3 linked regions of the Drosophila melanogaster genome follow. The protein of the gene in region 1 interacts with the protein of each later gene in a pairwise test. Each region holds a gene or a part of one and is shown in the gene's direction. Other genes may lie near its edges.

Region 1 (8,730 bases):
GTGGTAGCAGGTGTGCTAGGAGTGACTATCATGGGTGGTGGGGGAGGAGGTGGTGCCACACTTGAAATATTCGACATGGTATTTAGTTAAATAAATAGACTAAGCGAGTTAACAGACAATAGCCACAGCTGTTTTCGCAGACAAATATTAACAGGGCTGAGTTATCGATAAGCGATATTCTGTGTTCACCTGGTTGCATCTGTTCTACAGTGGGCACAAAGTAAATTAAGCCCACATAAAAATATCAAAATAAGCTTATTTGACTTTTATTGTAAATTGTTCAAGTTTATTCTTTAAATTAAACCAAAGAGCATGAGAATTCATAAAATGAATCTTTGGAAAAAAATAAATTCGAAATATACACAATTTACATATATGTATTACCAAAAACAAGGAGCAATTTTACATGGAATACTATTCATAGTTATAGGATATATCGAGTAACGTTATAACTAAACCAAATTCACGCTCGAATGTTATGCATAAAGAAGTTTTGTGGAGCTCAGCCAATTACAATAGAGTAGCCAATTCGATGGTGCAGGAAATTATGTCTGTAAATTACATTTAAAAAGTTATTCTTTTATTAAATTTACAATCACAAGATTTTTTGTTTGTTTAGAAGATACTCTGATGTTGTATTCTCAATGTTGCTGTTCTGTTGCAAAAGCCAGCAGCGGTTGCGTGCAAAATTTGACTAATACAATGGCAAAAATAGTACTAGGGAGATAGGCGGGCGGTCGGTCAGAAACATGAATTATTAAATACGAGTACACAGAGCATACTTATTCATTGAACGGTTACTTAGGTCGTAGGAAAGTGGGTATACTGGTTAAGCCTTTGCCAGAGGCTCGTTAAGACTCAGCTGATGTTGATCTGAATCTGAACTTTGCATCCTATCAGTTAATTAATTACTATGCTGTTTTGCTGAAATTGTTTTACTTAATCATATAACACCTTCCTCTATCGTCCTTTGTGTTGCTTGCTTCTCATGTTCATTATTATGTTGGAAATATTATTTAATAATATAGATTGTGTAATTATCCATTTTGCGTTGTTGTTACATTAGCACTGACAGTTGTCAGGATTGCCAGGACGATTGTTTTGCGAGCCCAAGGTAATCTGATCGGGGAAATCGTTGATAACTTCAGCCTGTGTGAAAGTACAAAGTTCGATTTAGTATGGAAAACAATATTTAAATAGGATTTCTTACCTCCGCCTCCAACTCTAACGCATTCTTGGCTATAACTTGAAACGCCATCTCCACGTTGATGCCCTCCTTGGCGGACGTTTCGTAGTAGGGTATATCGTTCTTAGATTGGCACCATTGCTGCGCTCGACGCGTGGACACCTGGCGGTTGTCCAAATCCACCTTATTGCCCAACACAACGAAGGGGAAGTGATCGGGATCCCGTGGACTGGCCTGTATGAGGAACTCGTCGCGCCAGGAGTCGAGATTCTTGAACGAGTTGGGCGCCGTCACATCGTAGACAAGCACGCAGCAGTCGGCTCCGCGGTAAAACGCCACTCCAAGCGACTGGAAGCGTTCCTGACCAGCAGTGTCCCAGATCTGTTATTGAAATTTTGCGAGTTATGTCACTGAAATAGGATTACTGGAAGTTCATAGTGCTTACCTGCATTGTGACCACTCGGTCGTTGACCACCACCTCTTTCGTGCAGAAATCAGCTCCGATCGTGGCTTTGTATTGGTTGGAGAAGCGTTTGTTTACATACTGATTCATCAGAGAGGTCTTGCCCACACTGCTGTCGCCCAGAATGATGACTTTCAGTAGGGATTTCTTACGTCCGGACATTTCGATGCAGTTTGTGGCGTTGGCTTACTCGGGGTTATTTCTTTTGGTATTTGGTGCTGAAAACCACAGAATATTATTGATTGTGTGTTAAAAATACCATTGCGGTTTCCTCTAATTCGATTAGGAAGTGTAGGGGTGTGATGGTTTCTTTCCTAAGATAAATGAAAGTGAACTGCGCAAACCTCTAGAGTCTAAACTACATGCCAATGAAAGCCGTAATCTCTGCCAGGACCTGACTGCCTAAGTGCTCGAAGTGCAAGCCATTCGCAGCTGTAAAATGTTTGTAATGACGAGCAGTTGTGCTACGCCGTGCTGGGTGATAAACAAATCGGGTGAGTCACTCTGAGCAATCCGCAGTGTGTGATCGCTGGACTGTGTGAACAGGCGGTCAGTAGGGGAGGGAGGTGCCCGCATCGAGGCGATAAAGCGTGATCACTATTGGCGCAGCGGAGAAAGTGCGCTGAGTACAGACAAAGACGAGGTCGAGCTAATAAAGCGGGTCTGGAATACCAGGAAAAGTGCCTGGGAAAACGCCCATTTCCTCAAAGTCCTCGATGGCAGGGGGAGTCACTATGGTGCAATCGAAAATAGTGCGAAAGTGGACTCTCCAAAGGGAGATAAACTCCCCGCCCCCCTTTTTTAGACCATGAACAACTTGTTTTTGTGCTCCACCATTACAACTACGCCACTAATTGCGTCGGTGTGCGTGGGTCTTTGTTGTGTACGTTTTTCGAGTGTGCGTGTGTATGTTTGATGTGGGGCTCCACTGGCATTTTCCATGCACTTTTCGCCTGCTGCGTAACACTCTTTTTAACGCTTTGCTTTTGCTATTCGCCTAATTCCTTTTGTAGTGGCACTCACTTTGAACACTGGTGAACACTCCAAGAGCTGTTTCTTTGTGGGGCGCTTCGGTTTTACTAAAAAATATTCAATTAATTACGCAGTGAATTTTGTTGTTGTCTCGCTAGGAGAATCGCTCTCATCTCTACTGGTCAGTACTGGTTATCGATAGTGCAGTCGTGTTACAGCTATCGGTAGAAGTTGACTATCTTTAGGCTGTCGTTAGCCAACACTTTTTTGTGGCCAATTAACGAATTGTATCCTATTTTTGTTGAAATTATCACTGAAAAATATTGAACAGCCAGGAAAAACCAAAAGCTGCTAAACGGTGGTCACCTGGGCTTACATAGGAGGCTATAATCGAAATGGCCACGCTTCCGCCGCGTAAGAGTCAGACCCCTACGAGGATCTGCATCTCTAAGCAGCATCTGACGCCGCTCCAAACATTGCTCCAAATGGGGTTTCCCAGGCATAGAGCGTGAGTTTTCTATGCATAGCGTATTGGCAGTCACCAGCTGCTCTAGGTTCCATCCAAGATATAGTGGCTATGCGTGCGAGTGACCCACTATGTTGATTTGTTTCATAGAATCAGAGTATTGATTTTTTTGCTTACCCCTACACAGGGAGAAAGCTTTGGCTTCAACTGGTAATCGTGGTGTCCAGATTGCCTCGGATTGGTTGCTGGCACATGTCAACGATGGCACCCTGGACGAGTGCGCCCCCAGGGAATATATTATATATGCTTGTCCCACGGGTCCGTTTCTGCAGCAGCTGGAGGAGTTCTGGGCCAAGTCGCGCCAAATGTGCGGTTGGAATGGAGCACACAACTACGTGCCTCACATAACCCTGGTTTCGTTTTTTAAAGTGAGCTTAAGTTGGATTATCCAGACTTTATTTATTCACCTAATCGAAATTACAGGCCCCCGATGAGTGCTCGCTGCAGCTGTCCAAGGCGCTCAAACAGGTGGTGGACATGACGGGCGCCTTGTTGGATCGCCCCCTTAAACTGGAGCCCTACATGAGTCAAAACTTCATGGGTTTTTTCGTGGCCGAGGAGGATGCCAACTATCTGAAACGACTGGCCCTGCAGTACGTGAAGGAGGTGTCCAACTCAAGTACGAATTATCCTTCTGTTGGTTGCACTCTCTTTGGGTTGTTTTGGTTTACCTTTCTCACGTTCTGTTCGATTCGGTTGATGGTTTTCCATTTTTCGGAGTGGCTTACACGGTTATGTTGTTCTCCTCTCTTCCTGCACACTTCTGGATAATCTGGGATATGCTGCACAGTCATTAGCGATACCTATGAGCAGTTGGACGCCATTGTGGCCTGCTTTCCCTGGTGCGGTGCTGTCTCCTCGGGCACCCGCTGCATTCCGCGCAGCAGTCGATGTAAGCCATTAGCTAGAGCCATTAGTTTGCATAAAATCGTTTTTGATTCACCCAAAAGTACACTTTCTTATCACTCTATGCATGCTTTAGTTGCACTGGTAGATAAGTTACTAATCTAATCGCCCTTTTGGCGAAATTCAACATGACGCTGCTAATTGTAGTTAATTAGTAGTAACTGTAGATAGCAAGGTGATCGATGTTTTTGGTAGCTACATAGTTAATTTGTTTATACCCCGTTTCATTTGTTTGAAAAATATTTCAGTTTATTATTAAAACCGATTAGTGTCACTATATATACAAAAAATCTTTGATTATTAGAAGACCAGAACTGTAGTTGATAAGCCCGTGACGTTTGGTTTTGCCCAAAGATAACTTTAAGTGACTATAATTCCTTATCGAAAAACATCGATTCACCGTGTTAGATACGAAAGCATATAACCAGCACCGCCTTCATTTCCATTCAGTAATCGTTTGTTCCGCCTAGCGAAAGGCTACTAATAGCTTCTAACTACCTGTAGCCATCTCACTCGAGCCACACGTTAAGAGCCTGCACCTGACGCTTGCCTACCAGTTCCCGCAGGCACAGTTTAATGCACTGAAAGCACTCGTGGAGACCTTAGACGCCAGCTGCGCTTCCAATTGGGAACTTCGTCTATATTCCCGCGATCCTCGGCTCGCCACCAAACAAGTTAGAGCTCCTTATAATCGATCGAGGATGAGTTATAATTTTATCTTGTACTTTTCAGGTTCAAAAGGTAGTTTATCCACACAACCCGCACGAGACGGATGAACTGGAGCTCCGAATCGGCGATTACATCTATTTGAATACCGAGGTAGTAGACAGTTCCAGTGACGGTTGGGCCGAAGGCATATCTTGGTTGACCGGAAGCACCGGTCATTTGCCCGTCAATTACACCGAACGCACCGCAGAATCGGACGCCTGGACCCTGCATCGTGTGGTCCAGCTCTCCAAGAGCGTAGCTTCATCATTAACTTCCGCCGAGGACTTGGACATTGTGGACGGACGCAGTATATCAACGGAGCCCGACGATCGTCAGAGTGAGTCGTATTTTGAATACAGTGATCCTGGATTAAGTTAGTTACATTGCCTCTCTCAACAGACACAGCACATCCTGATATAATTGAAGGCTCTTCGTTTGAGGAATCCGAACAGAGCGTGGAGAAGTATTTGAGACAGACTTTGAAGCCCTGCCTGGAACTACCCTCAGTGCAATTGCTAAACAGCCACAACTTGACCCATCAGCATAACCCTAACACGCCTACGATCGAGATAACGACCAATATGTCTTCTTCCTCCACCTCCATGTCCAAGCAACCGGTGGACGAGATCTTGGTGGAACCACCGGCAGCCCAGCCTCCGCGTCCAGATGACACACTTAGTGTACACTCGGACCACTCCTTGCATCCCGGATCCCTTGACGCCTCGCATGCCAAGAACAGAAAGATCTACATTATGCGGCATGGCGAGCGAGTCGACTTTACTTTTGGAACATGGATTCCATATTGCTTCGATGAGTTTGGAAATTACATGAGGAAGGATTTAAACATGCCGAAGACGCTGCCTCGTCGGAAGAACAGTCCGGAGGGCTGGCAGAATGATTCTCCGCTGACAAATGTGGGTGTCTATCAGGCCAATCTTATTGGTCAAGCTTTGCTGGAGGCTCAAGTGCAGATCGACCATGTTTACTGTTCGCCCTCGTATCGCTGCATCCAGACTTGCACCAGTGCGCTTGAGGGGCTGAAGCTTACGGGCAAGCAAAAAATCAAACTGGAGCCGGGCCTGTTTGAGTGGATGGCCTGGTATCCGAGCGGTGTACCCGACTGGCTGACTAAGAACGAGCTGACCGAGGCCAAGTTCGACGTTGATTTGGATTATGAGCCGGTGCAGCCAGCGTCTGAGCTAACTGCTCGCCTAAAGGAGTCCACCGAGCAGTTTTATGAACGTAACCATGACGTTATCCTCCAGCTATTGGAGCAGACAAGTAAATTTATACAAATGTGGTTTTAAAAAATACTCGAATGCCAATTTTCTTTAATTCCAGCTGGAAATATTTTGGTTGTTGCCCATGCCACCACACTGGACACTTGTTCCCGTCAACTGACCGGTGGAGTTCCACGCAGCACGAACGAATTGCGCCAAGTCATCCACAAGATCCCCTACTGCAGCCTGGCAACGGTGGAACAGGTGGACGGCGTCTGGAAGCTGGTTGAACCCGAATGTCTTCCGGTGACGCACTCAAAGAATCCGCGGTTCGAGTGGAACGCCTTGTCGGCCACCTAGTGCCAGTGCTTAGAGCAGTTTCTCTGCAAGCATTGAGACTGAGACTCAACTCGATTGGGACGGACCTGGAGGTGAATCACACGCTGAAGAAACTATACGTAAATTTTTTGTTCGCTTAGCTATTTAAAGTACGTATTGATTTACTGTTTAGAAATTGGCGCCGCATTAAGTTGATTGTACTGCCATACAAATTTTAAAGTAATTTATATGTACACTTATGATGCAAACCGATGGAATGCGATTTTGCTGCGGTGTATAAACAATCCATCTATTATAATTGCACTGCTTATTGAGAAGCCAGCGCGACGGACTCATACTTTATTGCAATCAATGCGATCTATTGACTATATATATTGAATATATACATTTATACCGTATGCCAGTAATTATACTAATTGAGCGCTAGCTCGCCGCTTTAGCCATAGACTAACTTGCCCTGTTACTAGCTTAGTTGTTAGATTGTTTGATTAGCCTTGCTGCGTAACGCAGTTTTTTGTAGCCATTTATCCAAGAGGCAGACTTTTCTTAGCAACTTGTTGAGACTACTCCGTACGTAAAGCCCAAACATATATCGATATTATCGACTAGATTTAGAAGTACAAAACCATGTAACAACGCACAACATAATGGAACAATAAACAGTATACATTGAACACGTGTAATGCCAAAACATTGAGGTGTAAACTCCATTTCGCTTCCACGATCCCCAAGAGGAAAGACGGACGATAATTTTGCATTGTCTTGTGCGACTCAGAAGGGGTCGACCTTTATTTAATGCGCATAGAATTAGAATTAGTAATGTAATTGGTTTAGTTGTTAAATCTATAATATAATTGCTGAACATTTTACGTGAATTATATATCTGCATTTTGTATTGTATTGATTCGGTAATATATATCCCCATATATACGCTTGTTTAGTTTTAGTTTGTGTGTGTTTGATTTAAAAAGAAACCAGCAAGGCTGCGGCTACAACATAGATCGGTGTATCCGAATGCAATGGGTTTCAACATAGCGCTTACAATCTTTTCTGTTTTCATTATGTTTCTCATTCGAAATTGCTTACGGATCTGCCGCTTAAGTATTTGAAGCATTAAATGGTATATTTAGTAAAAGACGCTCATCTCACGCGCGTTTTTGGAGAATTTTTGAGGGCTTAAAATTGATGCTGGAGATATAATAACTCATAACTTGAATTAAGCGAGCGGCCGCCAAGCTGGGCCAAACTCAAAAGCTAGCAGCAGCAGGAGGACGACGGCCATCAGGCCTGCCCTAAGCCAGGATCATCGCCTCGCCGCCGTCCTGTCCAATTGTTAGCACTGCACCTTGCCGAACTGGGCGCGACGCTCCTGGTACTCGCGGTACTCCTTGTAGTGCATCTGGATCTCCTGCGAACGGTAGCGCGTTAGCTTTATGGACTTCCTCGTCTCCGGAGTTATGGCAGCCCGATAGCCGCCCTTCCGTAGGAGTGAGTCAATGGTCTGCAGCTGGTCCCAGCCCTGTTCGGTGGCCACCTGCGGCAAATAGGTGGCTGTGCGCTTGCAGCCGCGTTCTGTGAGGAACTCGATGCGGATGCCATGGACGCCCAGTTGCCAGTCCAGGTGGCCCTGAGCCTCCTCGAAGTTCTGCAGAATCGAGACCGAGACAGTTAGCCGTGGCAACTCATCTCTAGAGATAGGTGCAAATCTAGAGTCCTTAAAGGCGCTGGTCAAGGCGTACTCCCGAAGACCATGGTGCAGTTCCATTGCACTAAAAGTACCAATGCAGCCACGCAGCCTCTTGTCACGCCCAATCTTCCAGGTGACAAAGAGTGGGTAGGCGTCGTTGCTAAACACCGGCACCGATGGACCATCGACGTTGTTCAGCTCACAGTCAAGCACCTCGAAGCAGAACAGGCACATGTCTGGCACAGCGACGGTCTTCATGCCATGGCCGTTGGAGAACCGTTGCGGCTGGTGCACCATCTGCTGGTGCTGGTATTCCGGATCTCCGTTGCTGGAGTGCGGCTGCTGCTGCTGGTAGTTGTTGTAGTGGGAGTTGGACATGCTGTTCTGTGTCAGAACTGGTTCACTAATTACGTTAGGTAGGTATATTGAGGTTACAACTAATGGCAGTGCACGTTGATGCTCTAAGTTCAATTAACACAACAGAACAGCCCCAGTAGGAGTTGCCACAGAAACGCTGCCGCCAGTCCTCTAATCGTCTTCTGAAAATCGGTGGTGGTGTTTAATGCTGGTCTCGAATTCCAAGGCCTTGGCTTACCTGCTACTGCGTAAACTAGGTCACCTGCTGCCCTCCAGTTTGCGCTGACCTCTAGCCTGTGATTCCTGGCTCCCTGCTAACTGATCCAGACCTCGTCCCCGTGTTCCTTGGCTGCCGTCCTGCTGCTA
Region 2 (8,249 bases), on another chromosome or scaffold:
TATAAAAATACTACATTATTATTATTTTATTTTAAATAAACGGCTTAAGATCAAGCCCGCTTTACCCTTGAAACTAAGCTGCACAAATAATGCTACCGCTATGTTGACCTACATGGCCGCTTTCCCATGTGTGTACGTGTGTCAATTGTTTAAACAAAATCTGGTAAACTTCATTTGGCCGTAGTCGTCGTCATCGCTCATCACCTGCGAGCAACAAAAACAAACGAAGCTGACGTCGACAGCGCTTCGTGCGAGCCGAAGTTTGACATTTCCATTTCCACGTAGCGTTTGTTTGTCAGTGGCGAGAGAGTGGTGTGTGTCTGTGTGCGTGTGTGAGTGTTAAATGAGAGTATGGCAACAAGTAGCCAGGTGATAAGAAAACTAGCAGCAGCAGTGAGGTGGAAATACTGAGATTTATGAATGAAAAGGCCCACGAAACATATAAAAACTCAAAAATATGTGCACTTCAAGTGGTGTACGATATAGTAATAAATAAAACTAAAGTTGGGCATAATTATTTTCATGAATTAAATGGACACAAAAGGCGTGTTTTCCTATTTCGACACATAAAAAACTCAGTTTGTTCTATATCAGGGTGGTTCGGCTGCCGTTTGCCCACTACCAAATGAAGAGCAAACTGTTTGCGTGGCGATGTTCACTTTTTTGACAAGTGAAAGCAACCACAAAACGCGTGGGCTGGCAACACTGGCAGAGAGCAAAGCGAGATTCGCTCGGAAAAACACACGTATAAGACGAGAAAAGCCGCAAATTGTTGGGAAAATTCGAACATTACATGGTACAGCAGCAATTGGGATAACTAGCTACACTTTGATTACATCTAATTACGGTTTTATACACACCTTGCGCTCCGGTTTTGCGATTTCCGGCAGTATACTGCAGAACGGTTTGATAACTTCCAGGAACTTGACTGCAAATAGTGAATTAAGGCAACCGAATTAGTTACGTTTCTCAGGCCATTTTTAATTAATTGCGATTTTCGGACACAACGAGCGGCGCACGCCGAATCTTTTTTGTATACGTAAGCAATGAGCGACAAGGGTGCGAGCGGCATTGCAAGGGCGGCACTTCACACAAAAACCGCTGCACTCCCCGATTTTGGGGAAGATGTCTGGCGATGACGGTTACTTACTTCCCATTTTGCCGGACTTGTGTTGCTAGTCTGGGCACTGAGTGGGTGGCTTGGTTATTGCACTTTCTACGCGAACAGTAGAAAGTCTCACTTTTCACTGCACAGCGAACGCCTCAAATTTCAAAAACCGAATGAACGAAGCGAACGAATTGACGACGTCGACGTGTCATTCAGTGTGGCCGTTGGTGAAACGTCAAAATAAACCGTCGTGTCACTTGGCGACGACCGGTCACACTGGCACTGTTAAGCATTAAAATTTGAAGTTGAGCCATGGGAAAATCTATATTTTTGGGCTGTACTGCAAAGCTGCCTAAAGATTATGTTCCGATAATTAAATACATAAACTAGCAAGAAGATCTAACAATTATATTTTTGGTGGAATTCACGTTACCTATCCAGAGGGTTATTTATGGTTTCTTTTTTGTCTAAGATGGGCCAACATATTTAGCTTTTGACATGTACACATTTGGTTTCAGGCATTATAGGGTTAATAAAAAGGAGTTTCGATATTTAGTTGTGTGTCCATCGCTGGCACCGGCTGGCACCTAGCGACCGATACTATCGTGGCAGCCAGCGATGTTTTAGCAGCTCCAAGACTCTCCAATTTGACAATTCTGAGGCATGAGTACAAACAAACACTCACGCAGTGCACTCTGTTGGCGAGCGTAATAAATATGTGGGAAAATTCCCACATATATACAGTATTCAGTGCTAGTGCCGAGAACTCGCAACGAACCCGGTCGCGTCGTTCACATATGTGTGAAAAAGTAGCTGACAACAACGGTGGCAAGTCCAAATGCGAAGAAAAGCCAGTAAATCGCGCGGCGAGTAAAGTGAATAAATTCGGTGCAGACCATTGCCGTTTCGGGGCGAATAATGTCTGCGTCTGTGATATGCGTCGATTTGAGCTCGGAGTCTGATGAGGAGGTAATATCCCGATTTCCCAGCGGACTCGTCAGTGCGTGTGTGTGTGAAAAAGTACAGTTGGTTTTAAATAGGCTCGCTGCATGAGTATGTGTGCGTGTTACACATAGTGTGGAATTAAATTTTTTTCGCGCTGCTTTTTTATTGAGAACGAGCAGACACGAACGTGCAGTGCCCCACTCATACAGTTGCAAAACGGTGACAGTGCTGCCAGACCGAGCGATTGGAGACCTGGCGAGTCTTGCAGTTGCACTGGCGAATATCGGACTTTAATTACGTTAGGCGTGGAAATGAGCGAGTGAGAGGGTGCGGTGAGTCTCCGCTCCTGGAGAGTGTTTGGTTAAGACGCAATTCGCCTGGTAAAGTTTGGAAAGTCGTCTCCGCTGATACGGCACTAAATCAAATTAACTCTCCAAAGCGCGCGCACGCAACTCTCCAAAGCTCTCGCACACACCGACGAACGCACACCTATACACTGACGCTTTTCGTTTGTTTATATTTTCATTCAAATTTAAAATACATCTGAGAGCGACCAACAGGTCGCCTGCAGTTTGGAACTATTATAAATGTTGCTAATTATAAAACGCGCTTCAAAGACGATGCACTTGTGATAAAAACAACAAACATTATGTATACTTATAAGTAAACTTTGGTCTTATTGTCAGAGGCAGTGTAGTCTCATCTTATTACCAATTGAACATAACTTGTAATATAAGTTTCAAATTATATTTGCAGTCGCCGGCCAAACGACGACGACTCGAGGATCCGCTGCGACTACTAACGCCATCCGGTAGGCAAAGTTTTCCTGCCAAACTTCTGAACATACCAAAGGCCTCCCTGGGATCCGCGATGGTAGTGCCTGTTGCGGAAACAGGACCTGCAAGGGAGACTCCGGTCATAGTGGATCCACTCCGGTCCATGCACATCCCCAGTGGAATCACCATCACTAAGCACCAGAAGAACGTCCTCGCCACAAACGGAAACATGAACCTTTCTCTGGCAGAGAGCAACAACAACAACAACACTACCAGCTTGAACAAAAATGTGACCCCGAAGCAGATCAATGTTGGCACCGGCCAGAAAGTGGCCTGGTCGGTGAGCAGCAAGGCGCCCAGTCCGAATGCCGTGATAACCACCGTGCCCAGCCACCAGGTGAGGGTGACGCCGTTTAATCCGATTCGACTCGCACCCGGGTCAAAAATAATACCGGCTTCGAATGCGATGCCTGCAAAGATTCAACCCATTCTTGGGATGGGTCAGCCTCAGCAACAGGCACAAGCCCAGCAACCGAAGGCCATCATAGTGGGTTTTCCGAAGCCCAATACTGCAGTGGCTCAAATGGCGCAACACCAAAAACCTCTAACGCTTCAAATACACCAGAAATTAATTGCAGGACAGCAGCAGCATATAGCTTCTATTAGCCAATTGCAGCAGGTATCGTTGCAGCAGCAACAGCCACTTAGACCCGTGAGCATTCAATTGCAGCAGCAACAGAACCAACGGAATGGCTCATTGCCTGGAAAGCAACAGAAGCCACTGGAATGCCCAGTGCCTGCGCAGCAAGAGAAGCTACCACGTGGGCCGTTGCCTACGAAGCCAGCCGAGCCACTGAGTGGCCCATTGCCTACGGAGCCAGACGAGCCACTGGGTGGCCCATTGCCTACGCGGCCAAAACCACCGGTGAGATCACTACAACAGCCAGTTAACAAGAATACGGCGATTGGAGTACAGATACAGCAATCACAGGAGCCACTGGGTGGCACATTACCTACGCGCCAGAAACCACTTGGAGGTCAATTGCTAACGCAGCAAAAACCACCGGTGGGATCGATACAACAGTCTGTTAAACAGAATACGGGGATTGGAGTACAGATTCAGCAAATACCAAAGGTTGTCGTGGGACAACAGCCACAGAAGGTGTACCTGAATAAACTACAACAGGAGCAACAGAAGATTTTTCTGGGGCACCTGCAACAGCAGCAACAGAAGACGTTCCTAGGGCAACTGCAACAGGAACAGCAGAAGATCCTGGGGCAACTACAGCAGCAGAAACAACAACAACAGCAGCAACAGAAAAAGATCCTGGGGCAATCACAACAGCAAAAGGTGCCGTTGGGGCAACCGCAACCTCAGCAGAAACTACCGCAGCAACTGAACAATTCACTGGTGCAACTACAACAGCAACATCAACAAAGAACATCAGTGGGGCAACTCCAACAACAGCAGCCACATCAATCACAGCAGAAAAATTCAATGGTGCACGTAAAACAGCAACCACAACAGCAAAAGAAGATTTCAGTGGGGCAATTCCAGCAGCAACCACAACAGCAACAGAAGACTTCAGTGGCGCAGCTGCAACAGCAACCACAACAGCAACAGAAGATTTCAGTGGGGCAACTTCAACAGCAATCACAGCAGCAACAGAAGCCTTCAGTGGGGCAGCTGCAACAGCAATCACAGCAGCAACAGACGCCTTTAGTGGGGCAGCTGCAACGGCAAACTCAACAGCAACAGAAGACTTCAGCGGGGCAATTCCAACAGCAACCACAACAGCAACAGAAGATTTCAGCGGGGCAACTCCAAGAGCATTCACAACAACAACAGAAGACTTTAGCGGGGCAACTCCAACAGCAAGCACAACAGCAGCTAAATACTTCCGCGGGGCAGCTCCAACAGCAGCAAAAACCACCAAAAGCGTCCTTAGCGCAACAGGCAGCAGCTCAAAAGCAAGGAGCGGGCCTAGGACAACAGCAACAATTTCAATCCCAGCCCCAGCAGAGAACAAGTGCTGGACTTCTTCAACAGCAACAGATGCCACAGAAGAAAATCGTGATGCAACCGCAGCTTCCGAAAACATCGGTGGTCCTGCCGCGCCCACAACAGCTCCCGAAAAATCCTTTGCTGGTGGCCCAACAGCAATCACCAAAGACACCACTGGTAAACTCCGTAATGGGCCCACAGTTTCCATCACAGCAACCATCGCTTCCCGTTGTCAATCAAATTACGCACAAATCGATGACTATTCAGAGACTTCCCATGTTGCAGACGGTGCAAAAAATTCTGCCAAAACAGATAGCTCCGCAGCAGACGCCACCACCCGCTCATATAGTACAAAAGCAAACAATGCCAAACGCGGCCATGCAAAATCCTCCGTTCGCGCACCGTCCACCGATAGTGCGACCCATGACGGTAGCCAAGATCTCGCCGGTGCCTACAAACAACAAAGTCTGCATCCCGATGAAGCCGCAGATGGCTAGTTATGTCAGTCCCACAGACCCAACAATGACTGCAGCCCGTACTTTGCCCTTTAGAAGCTCACAGCGCAAGACATCTGAAGCACCAATGACTTCGACGCATGTCCAGGGATTCACTGCGAGTGCCACACCTCCACAGCGTCTTCTGGCCACTCCACCGCATTGTGCCGCGGCCTTGAATGAGCCGCTATTGCTAAACTTGCCGCCCACCACTAGCATTACGCCGCAACTGACGCCTACGACAACTCCACCGCCCGCTGGACCATCGGCAGCAGTTCAGCAACAGCAGCTGGCCAAGGCGGCAGCCATTAAATTGAATTCCTTGCCCGAAGCGAGCATTTCTCCAGTGAACAGGTCTCCAACTGCAAGCGCCAAGCGCATCCAGCCGATTACCGTGCTCAAGAAATCCGACGAGGAATGGCAAAGGCATCTCGAGCAACAGCAGCAAAAGAAGCACGTACAATTGCAGTCGTCCTCGATGACCACAATTGTTCTAGTCGAATCACCGCCCACTACTCCGCCCACGGATAAGCCGGAGCCGGAGCGCGGGCCAATGACCGTGGAAAAATCGTCGATCAAACCGATGGCAACAGATAAACAATCCAGGGCAATAAAAAGGCCTGCAGTGATGATTTCCACGAAAAAATCCGGTTTAGTTGTCACAGAAATAGTGGATTTAGATGAAATACCGGATATCCCGCCAGAAAAGCGCGGGAAAGAATGTTTTCCTCCAATTAAGAATGCAGCCAAGGCAGCACCATCAGTGAATGCCCCTTTTACAACTGAGTACGCGGCACTTCTTCGTCTTTGCCGCGAGGTGGACAAATCGACTCACATGGAACGCCTTGTAAAGGGAGAATTGACCCAGTATTACTACAGTGCGCCCGAAAGCTTCGTGATGTCATGTGGCTTTCGCAACCTGGTTACAATGGCTATGGCGAGGATCCGAAGCGAATCGTACCTGGTGTACGTGCACCTAAAGTACGTGTTAGATGAGTTAGCATCGCGGAGGCTGACCAAAATGTTTCCCACAGTACGAGCAATTCCGCCAGCTAGCCAGTTCCCACTTCCACCAGCTAGCCAGTTCCCACTTCCACCCACATTGACCACACCCAAGCAGCCAGCGATAGTAAAAGCGCCGGGGCAGCAGACTGTGATGGCGGGAAGAGAGCAGGATGATGAAGTAGAAGAGGTGACATTGGTGAATGTCGGGACCGTTTCTTGCGAAGAAAGGCGTAGGGATGAGCGGATACGCCACTTTTATCGCACGCTGCATGCTATTACTAAGCGAATAAAGATGTTGGAGGAAGCTGAAGTGGACTTGAACGACGAGGACTCCAGTTATCTTCAGTTGGAGCGCTTCAAAAAGCGTGCCTGCCAAATCTATGAAAAAATCTGTGATCTAAAGGGCGAGAGCAAGAGTGTCCGTAGACAGCTAAAGAAGCCCATACACTTCAAGGATTCGGACTATCCACACTTCAATAACTCGCTCTCGGCTTTTGTGAACAGGATGCAAGATTTTCCCGATTACCACGATGTGCTTCAAATACTGGAAAAGTGCAACAAGGAAAAGGAACTTGGACTAGCCAAGTACGAGATGAAGAGAATCGGTACGTCATGGTCTTCAAGTATCAAAATCAATATTGAGCACACATTTTATTGTTTTGCAGCCTACGATGCCTTTAACAAAGTCGGTCGAATGCTGCAATCGCGCCGAAAGAATGATCTTTACGAAACTGTCACACATTACACGGCAAATGGCAAAGATCCAGCGTCCAGTGATCCCGAGCTGCTAGCCAAGCTCAAGGAAAACAACAAAAAGCAAACCAAAATAAGTGATATCTTAGAAAAGTGAGCTCAAATCGAGAATTTCAGAACTGCGCTGTTCAAAAGAGTTTTCACTTGTTATTTATCGGAAATATCTAGAACAGCGCAGTGCTCTGAACTTAAAACAGAGTTCCAATCTAATATTTGGATTATTTATTCTAGGTATGCCCTCGAGCAAGATCTCAATGCGGAGGAGCGTCAGGAGGCGCGGCTTAAGGAGAAAAAGTTGAAGCAGGTTAAAGCGGACGAGGAGGCCGCCAAGCTGGCTGCTTTGGCGGAAGACGACGACAAGCCCTGTACAAGTGCTCAGGCAGCAGCTAAGGCGGCCGCTCTCGCCGCTTTAAAAAGGGGTCCAGCAGCTCGTGGAAATGTGATTCGAAAAAAGCGTGCCGCTAATGGACGGATTTTCAAAATCGCCGATGACGGAGATGACTCGGAGGAGGAATCGGACTCGGAGGACGACGATGTTGAGGAATTTGTCAATAACTTTCAAGCCAACAGTGATGTGAGTGATGCCGACTCCGAAGTGGAAGCAGTAACATCACCAAAGAGAGATGCTTTGCCGCTCGCCGAGGAGGAGGATGTGATAGATATAACGAGAGACGAGACTGGCAAAAAGAATGACGAAGGCACGCCCAACGGCAGGCTTAAGATTATGTCCGTCTCTAGTCTGAACGCCAATTTTGTCCATGGGCAGGATCTGCATAGAAAGCCCAATCCCATGCCGTCTGCTAAGCCAGTCATTGCTGACCAGATTATCATTTCCGATGAGGAGTCATAGAAAGAGTTATATCCGAAGCCCTAATTAAGTTATTTATTCAATATGTTCAGTTTCTTCCTGAATACGTTCGGTACATTTTTCAACTCCCCTTGCTAACACAAATGTTGTAAGGTCGACTATTTATTTTTGAATGTCAATCCTTAAATTTAAATTTTAAGTTTATGCAGAAAAGTTTATATAATTCAAGCATTGATTGAGTTGACAATTTTCATATTTGTTTTTTGCTTTTTTTATAGACATAGACACGTGAAGAACTTTTTCATATAAAAATGTCTTACATTCAAAAATAACTGCCGCCCTTACATTTTTGTGG
Region 3 (4,387 bases), on another chromosome or scaffold:
AAAGTAATAAGTCGAGAACGTTTTTGTAAAAACCAAGAAAGCAACAAACTTGAAAGAGACAGACACAATACCATAAAAACTGAAGAAAGGGAATGAGGAAAGTAAATAACAACACATAAGTGAATATGTAATTGTAATTTTATGAATGAATATTGTATACACTTTAGTTTCAATAACTCTAGTTTTAAATCGAAGCCAACCAACTCTTAACTATACTCTATCCCCCACCCCCACCCCCCTATCCAAATCCCCTTATCCCCTATTATTATTGTACGCAAGGCCCATGTGCTGGAACACACGAAAACACACACAAACAAACAATTTTTAGTTCAATTGAAATTTGTATTTGTATATTTGCTAACGGAATTACGATGTAAAGAAAAAAAAAAACAAAAAATGAAATGAAATCTATGTAAACCAAATTGTAGAGAAATTATTGTTTTCATTTTAAATTGGCTGCAGCTAATCTTGATTTCGGATTTTAGCGGGATACATTTTGAATTTTAAATTTAAAACGTAACGATCGATGAAACTGAAGTTATCGATAACCAATTGCAGTCTGGCAACAACGGGCGATCGTGCATTTTCAAGTGTAACTCTGGTCGAGTTTTGGCGGTTTATTTAAAATTAGATTGGCATTATATTTTTACGTTCTGAGTTTAGGAAAATCAAAGAGTTAAGAAAAAGTCCCATTGCAATGTATATTATAAGCACAATTAAGCAACTCAGAGCTTTTATTGTTTAGATATCCAGCCTTATTTATTAGTCTATAATTTCACGAATTTCTGAAATTCCAAAAATGCGTAATTTTTCAAACAACCCGTGCACCTTGTTGCCCCAAACATTTTATATTGAAATTATCAAAGAGAAGGAAAAACAAAAAATGGTTTCAAGAACTCACGATCCATTAAATCAAGTTTAAAACACATTTAACCAACAATTTAGATGAGAAATGGAATGCGAGAAACTAGGAAAATATGATAACAAATGCAAAATAATGGAAAACGAAAACACTTTACTACGCCAACAAGTCCTACAAGCCTACATTTTAAATACATAACGATATAGTTCGATGTCTATGGATCAAAGAATACTTAAAGTAATGCAACCGGAAATAGCCCGAAATATCACAGAACGAAGAGAAAACCGGAGACAATGAATAACTAAATTAAACGCGTAGAATTTAATCACTTAATTAGTTCTAAACAAATTAAGTCCAGCTAAATATCGAAGCGATTAAACTCGTTTGATCGGAGAATCATATACACATTTATACAAACAGGCCTAATTTCAACTACCTCCAAAACTGTTTTTTAAATTAAAAATTAAATTCTAAACGAAGATCAAGTCTACGAATTATGTTTAGCGAAACTAAACGGAAACTAAGTAAATCAAATGAAATGAAACAAATCGATTAAATTATAGTAAATCAATTGATTGAATTACGATTTTTTTAAATTCAAGCAGATCGATTAATTCAATAAATCAACAATCATTGACAAGTAATTAATTTTACACTTTATATATACGATATTTATTACTATATTGTATCTGTACGTTTAGATCGAGAATACAAATGAAAGCGCACACGAGCTGCGTTTCGAAAATGCAAAACCGTCGACTGATATATATAAATATATATATAACAAAAGCTAAATAAATAAAGTAAATAACAAGAAAAGTATAGAGATTCATTTGTAAATACACCGAATGCAGGACAATGCGCTGCGGAGCATTATGTTAATGTAACCACACCCAATCCCAAACAGTTTCTCAACAACTTTTCGAAACCATCCGAGATCAAAATCATCCCATCTACCATCTCCCACTTCCCAGAAAATCGAATTTGATTTTTGATCCCTGCAGGCAAAGTGCACCCAATACTAGCGAAATTTTTTAAAGCGCATTATGCAAAACGTCTAATATACAAAAATCGGAATAAAAATCGATATATATCTAAATACATATATATATTAATTGAATACCAATTATTGTTGTTGTCTCATATAAAACGCAAAAGCATTAAAAGCAAAAAAACAAAAATGGGAAAAATGAAAGCAAATTTAAAATATATTTCCAAAATATATAGAACATAACTATGAAAACATAAAAACCGTTTTTTCTTTAAGCAACCAAATTTGTTGTCAACTGGAAACTTTTAGCTTTGATTGGCACTTGACACACATTATTGCATTTTGGGTTTGACTGATTGTACGATATGAACCCTGCAATGTTCCAGTTATCAATAAATGGTGTCGAAGTTAATGGACATAACTAACTCAAAGAAAATTCCCACCATAAATTACTCAACGGGAAGTGTTCAAGTGAATCATAAACTGTGCTTAGATTTCACCAACGATAGAAACCCACTCAATGACAACTCGCGCCATCCATTTGCATTAATGATTTGCACAAATCCCACCCAAAAAAAGGAGATTGGTCACTGCCCACACTAGTAGCAGGTCGCCTTGAAAGACGGTGAAATTCTCACGTATTTCTTATCAACCACAATGCAGACAGATTGTGGAAATAACTGAAATAAAACAGCAAATAGTAATTGCCCGTCGAGGGGGAAATGGGGGAGAACAGGTACAAGGCAAGTACAAGCGATCTAGGCGATTGTTTGAACTATTGATAAATGTTAAACATAAGCAAGGGTCGCCCCTTGGCACGCGTCCAGTGTTTCCGAGTCCGTCCAACGGTTAACAGCTCCTAAAATTATCGAATCAAGAGCGCGACTTATTAAACGCAAATTAACAGCAGCCATTAAAAGACATTCGCGAACAGCGGAAAGCAATTAGGAAATCAAATCAGCAATATGTCACAGTTGTACGAACTCTCGGAGGTGGCCCAGCAGAACGGCAAGAATGGCAAACCCTGCTGGCTGATCATCAAGGGGAACGTGTACGATGTAACCAAGTTCCTCGGCGAGCATCCTGGCGGCAGTGAAGCACTACTCGAATATGGCGGCAAGGATGCCACCAAGGCCTTCAAGCAGGCAGGCCATTCCTCCGACGCAGAAAAGGATCTAAAGAACTACAAAATCGGAGAAATCAACTCAGCTGCACCCATTCAAGTGCAGCCAACGTCCAATGGTGCAGCAAAGCCGACGGCAAACACAATATCCGAAGATCCCGAACCCGCGAAGAATAGCTCCTCCGGTTTCTGTTGCTGCTAGTCATAGGTTTACATGTCATTTGATTGATTTATTAACATAGGATGAGGTCGTAGTTAGTTTATCATAGTTAAATTGTAAATAGTTCTAGGTTTATCTCATAATAGCTACATCTTCATGTCCACAAAGCTATCTTAAAAAAGATCAACTCTTCTTAAACGATCTGAATAAATTGCAAACAAAGCCGGCGGAGCTGCTCCACCAATTTCAAAAAAATTAAACTAAATCCAAACGATGCCTAATCTTTCGGTTCGGCCTCCATGGTTGGCTCGCTGCTGGGGGCAGCCGATTGGAACGTACTGCATGCAGTGTCAAAGTAATCCGTCGTGAAACTGGTCACGTTTACCGTGTGGTTGCGCAGATAGTGATAGAATCTACTCGACTTCCGTTCCAGTCCTGCCCGTTCCTTTTCGCTGCGGCATATGGAGCGCAGGGCGGGCTCGAAGTCCAGCGATTTGGCGGAGTCGGAACGGAGAACTCCGTTGCCCAGGTGCTGGCAAATTGAAAACCTGGAAAGATTACAGAAAGTTATAAAAAATGAAAAAATTAAAGCATAACTAAAATAAGTTTGGTATCTAATTAGTGAAAAGTCTGGGCACTAATTTAATGAATAGGTGTGTTCCTAAGATAGTTATAAGATCGGTCATTTTTATGACAAGGCTATTAGAATTCCGAACGCTAAAGATATCTTGTGACTAGTTGTTATTATGACTGCTGGATGATAACAAAACCCCGGTTTCCTTTTTCCATCGATTACTGCCATGACAGCTAATTAAGTTAGCATTATTAAGCCTTAAAATGTGTTTAAAGCAAAATAGATATAGATACAGATAGATATTGTTAATAAAGATCTTTTGATATTAAAGTGTTTATATATTGGCTTAGTTAAAGAGTAACTCATCATTTTGAAAATCTTACCTCTGAACCGGCTTATCAAATAGATTGTAGGGGCACTCCTTGGTCGCGAGTCCAGTTTGGAGAGCCTGCTCCACCAGCAGGTGACCGATTTCTTCGGACAGGTGCCACTGCAAGCGATCACTGCAGTCGGAGTCCATCAACGAAGCCACCGAAATGTTGTCATAGAAGGATGCCAATGTGGCGAGCGATGAGCTGTGCCCATCGGACTTCTGCCCAGTGGCGCTGCTCAGCCAGGCCTTCTTTGGTGAGCGGGACTTCCGCTTGGCAGCGGTTCTACTTCCACCGCCCGCTGCC

What was found. Proteins that work in one complex are often made in the same cells at the same time.
Region 2: the proteins of Epp (region 1) and Daxx interact in a two-hybrid assay, tested with the Drosophila melanogaster proteins (one large-scale study listed by BioGRID).
Region 3: the proteins of Epp (region 1) and CG5157 interact in a two-hybrid assay, tested with the Drosophila melanogaster proteins (one large-scale study listed by BioGRID).

The regions. Positions count from the first base shown.
Region 1 is NT_033777.3:23,987,083-23,995,812, reverse strand, and holds Epp (ecdysteroid phosphate phosphatase), read left to right. Parts: upstream 1-2,896; 5' UTR 2,897-3,016; coding exon 3,017-3,129; intron 3,130-3,274; coding exon 3,275-3,515; intron 3,516-3,570; coding exon 3,571-3,766; intron 3,767-3,776; exon of another isoform or gene 3,777-3,937; coding exon 3,938-4,039; intron 4,040-4,501; exon of another isoform or gene 4,502-4,557; coding exon 4,558-4,727; intron 4,728-4,785; coding exon 4,786-5,098; intron 5,099-5,160; coding exon 5,161-6,042; intron 6,043-6,102; coding exon 6,103-6,341; coding exon of another isoform or gene 6,342-6,377; 3' UTR 6,378-7,007; downstream 7,008-8,730. Other genes in the region: CG33108 (uncharacterized protein), read right to left, coding at 1-77; Rab7, read right to left, coding at 1,063-1,149, 1,211-1,567, 1,632-1,811; CG5902 (uncharacterized protein), read right to left, coding at 7,654-8,385. UniProt on the Drosophila melanogaster protein: Steroid phosphatase that dephosphorylates ecdysteroids such as ecdysone 22-phosphate (E22P), 3-epi-ecdysone 22-phosphate (E22P) and 3-epi-ecdysone 2-phosphate (E2P).
Region 2 is NT_033779.5:6,479,174-6,487,422, forward strand, and holds the start of Daxx (Daxx-like protein), read left to right. Parts: upstream 1-1,755; 5' UTR 1,756-2,026; coding exon 2,027-2,077; intron 2,078-2,809; coding exon 2,810-6,938; intron 6,939-6,998; coding exon 6,999-7,179; intron 7,180-7,317; coding exon 7,318-7,936; 3' UTR 7,937-8,249. Other genes in the region: Sec61alpha (Sec61 alpha subunit), read right to left, coding at 861-928, 1,151-1,157. UniProt on the Drosophila melanogaster protein: Transcription regulator. Acts as a histone chaperone that facilitates deposition of histone H3.3. Has a role in chromatin remodeling together with asf1 and XNP. Has role in the transcriptional apoptotic response to oxidative and UV stress.
Region 3 is NT_037436.4:16,135,493-16,139,879, reverse strand, and holds CG5157 (uncharacterized protein), read left to right. Parts: upstream 1-2,000; 5' UTR 2,001-2,818; coding exon 2,819-3,178; 3' UTR 3,179-3,393; downstream 3,394-4,387. Other genes in the region: elg1 (enhanced level of genomic instability 1), read right to left, coding at 3,414-3,684, 4,094-4,387.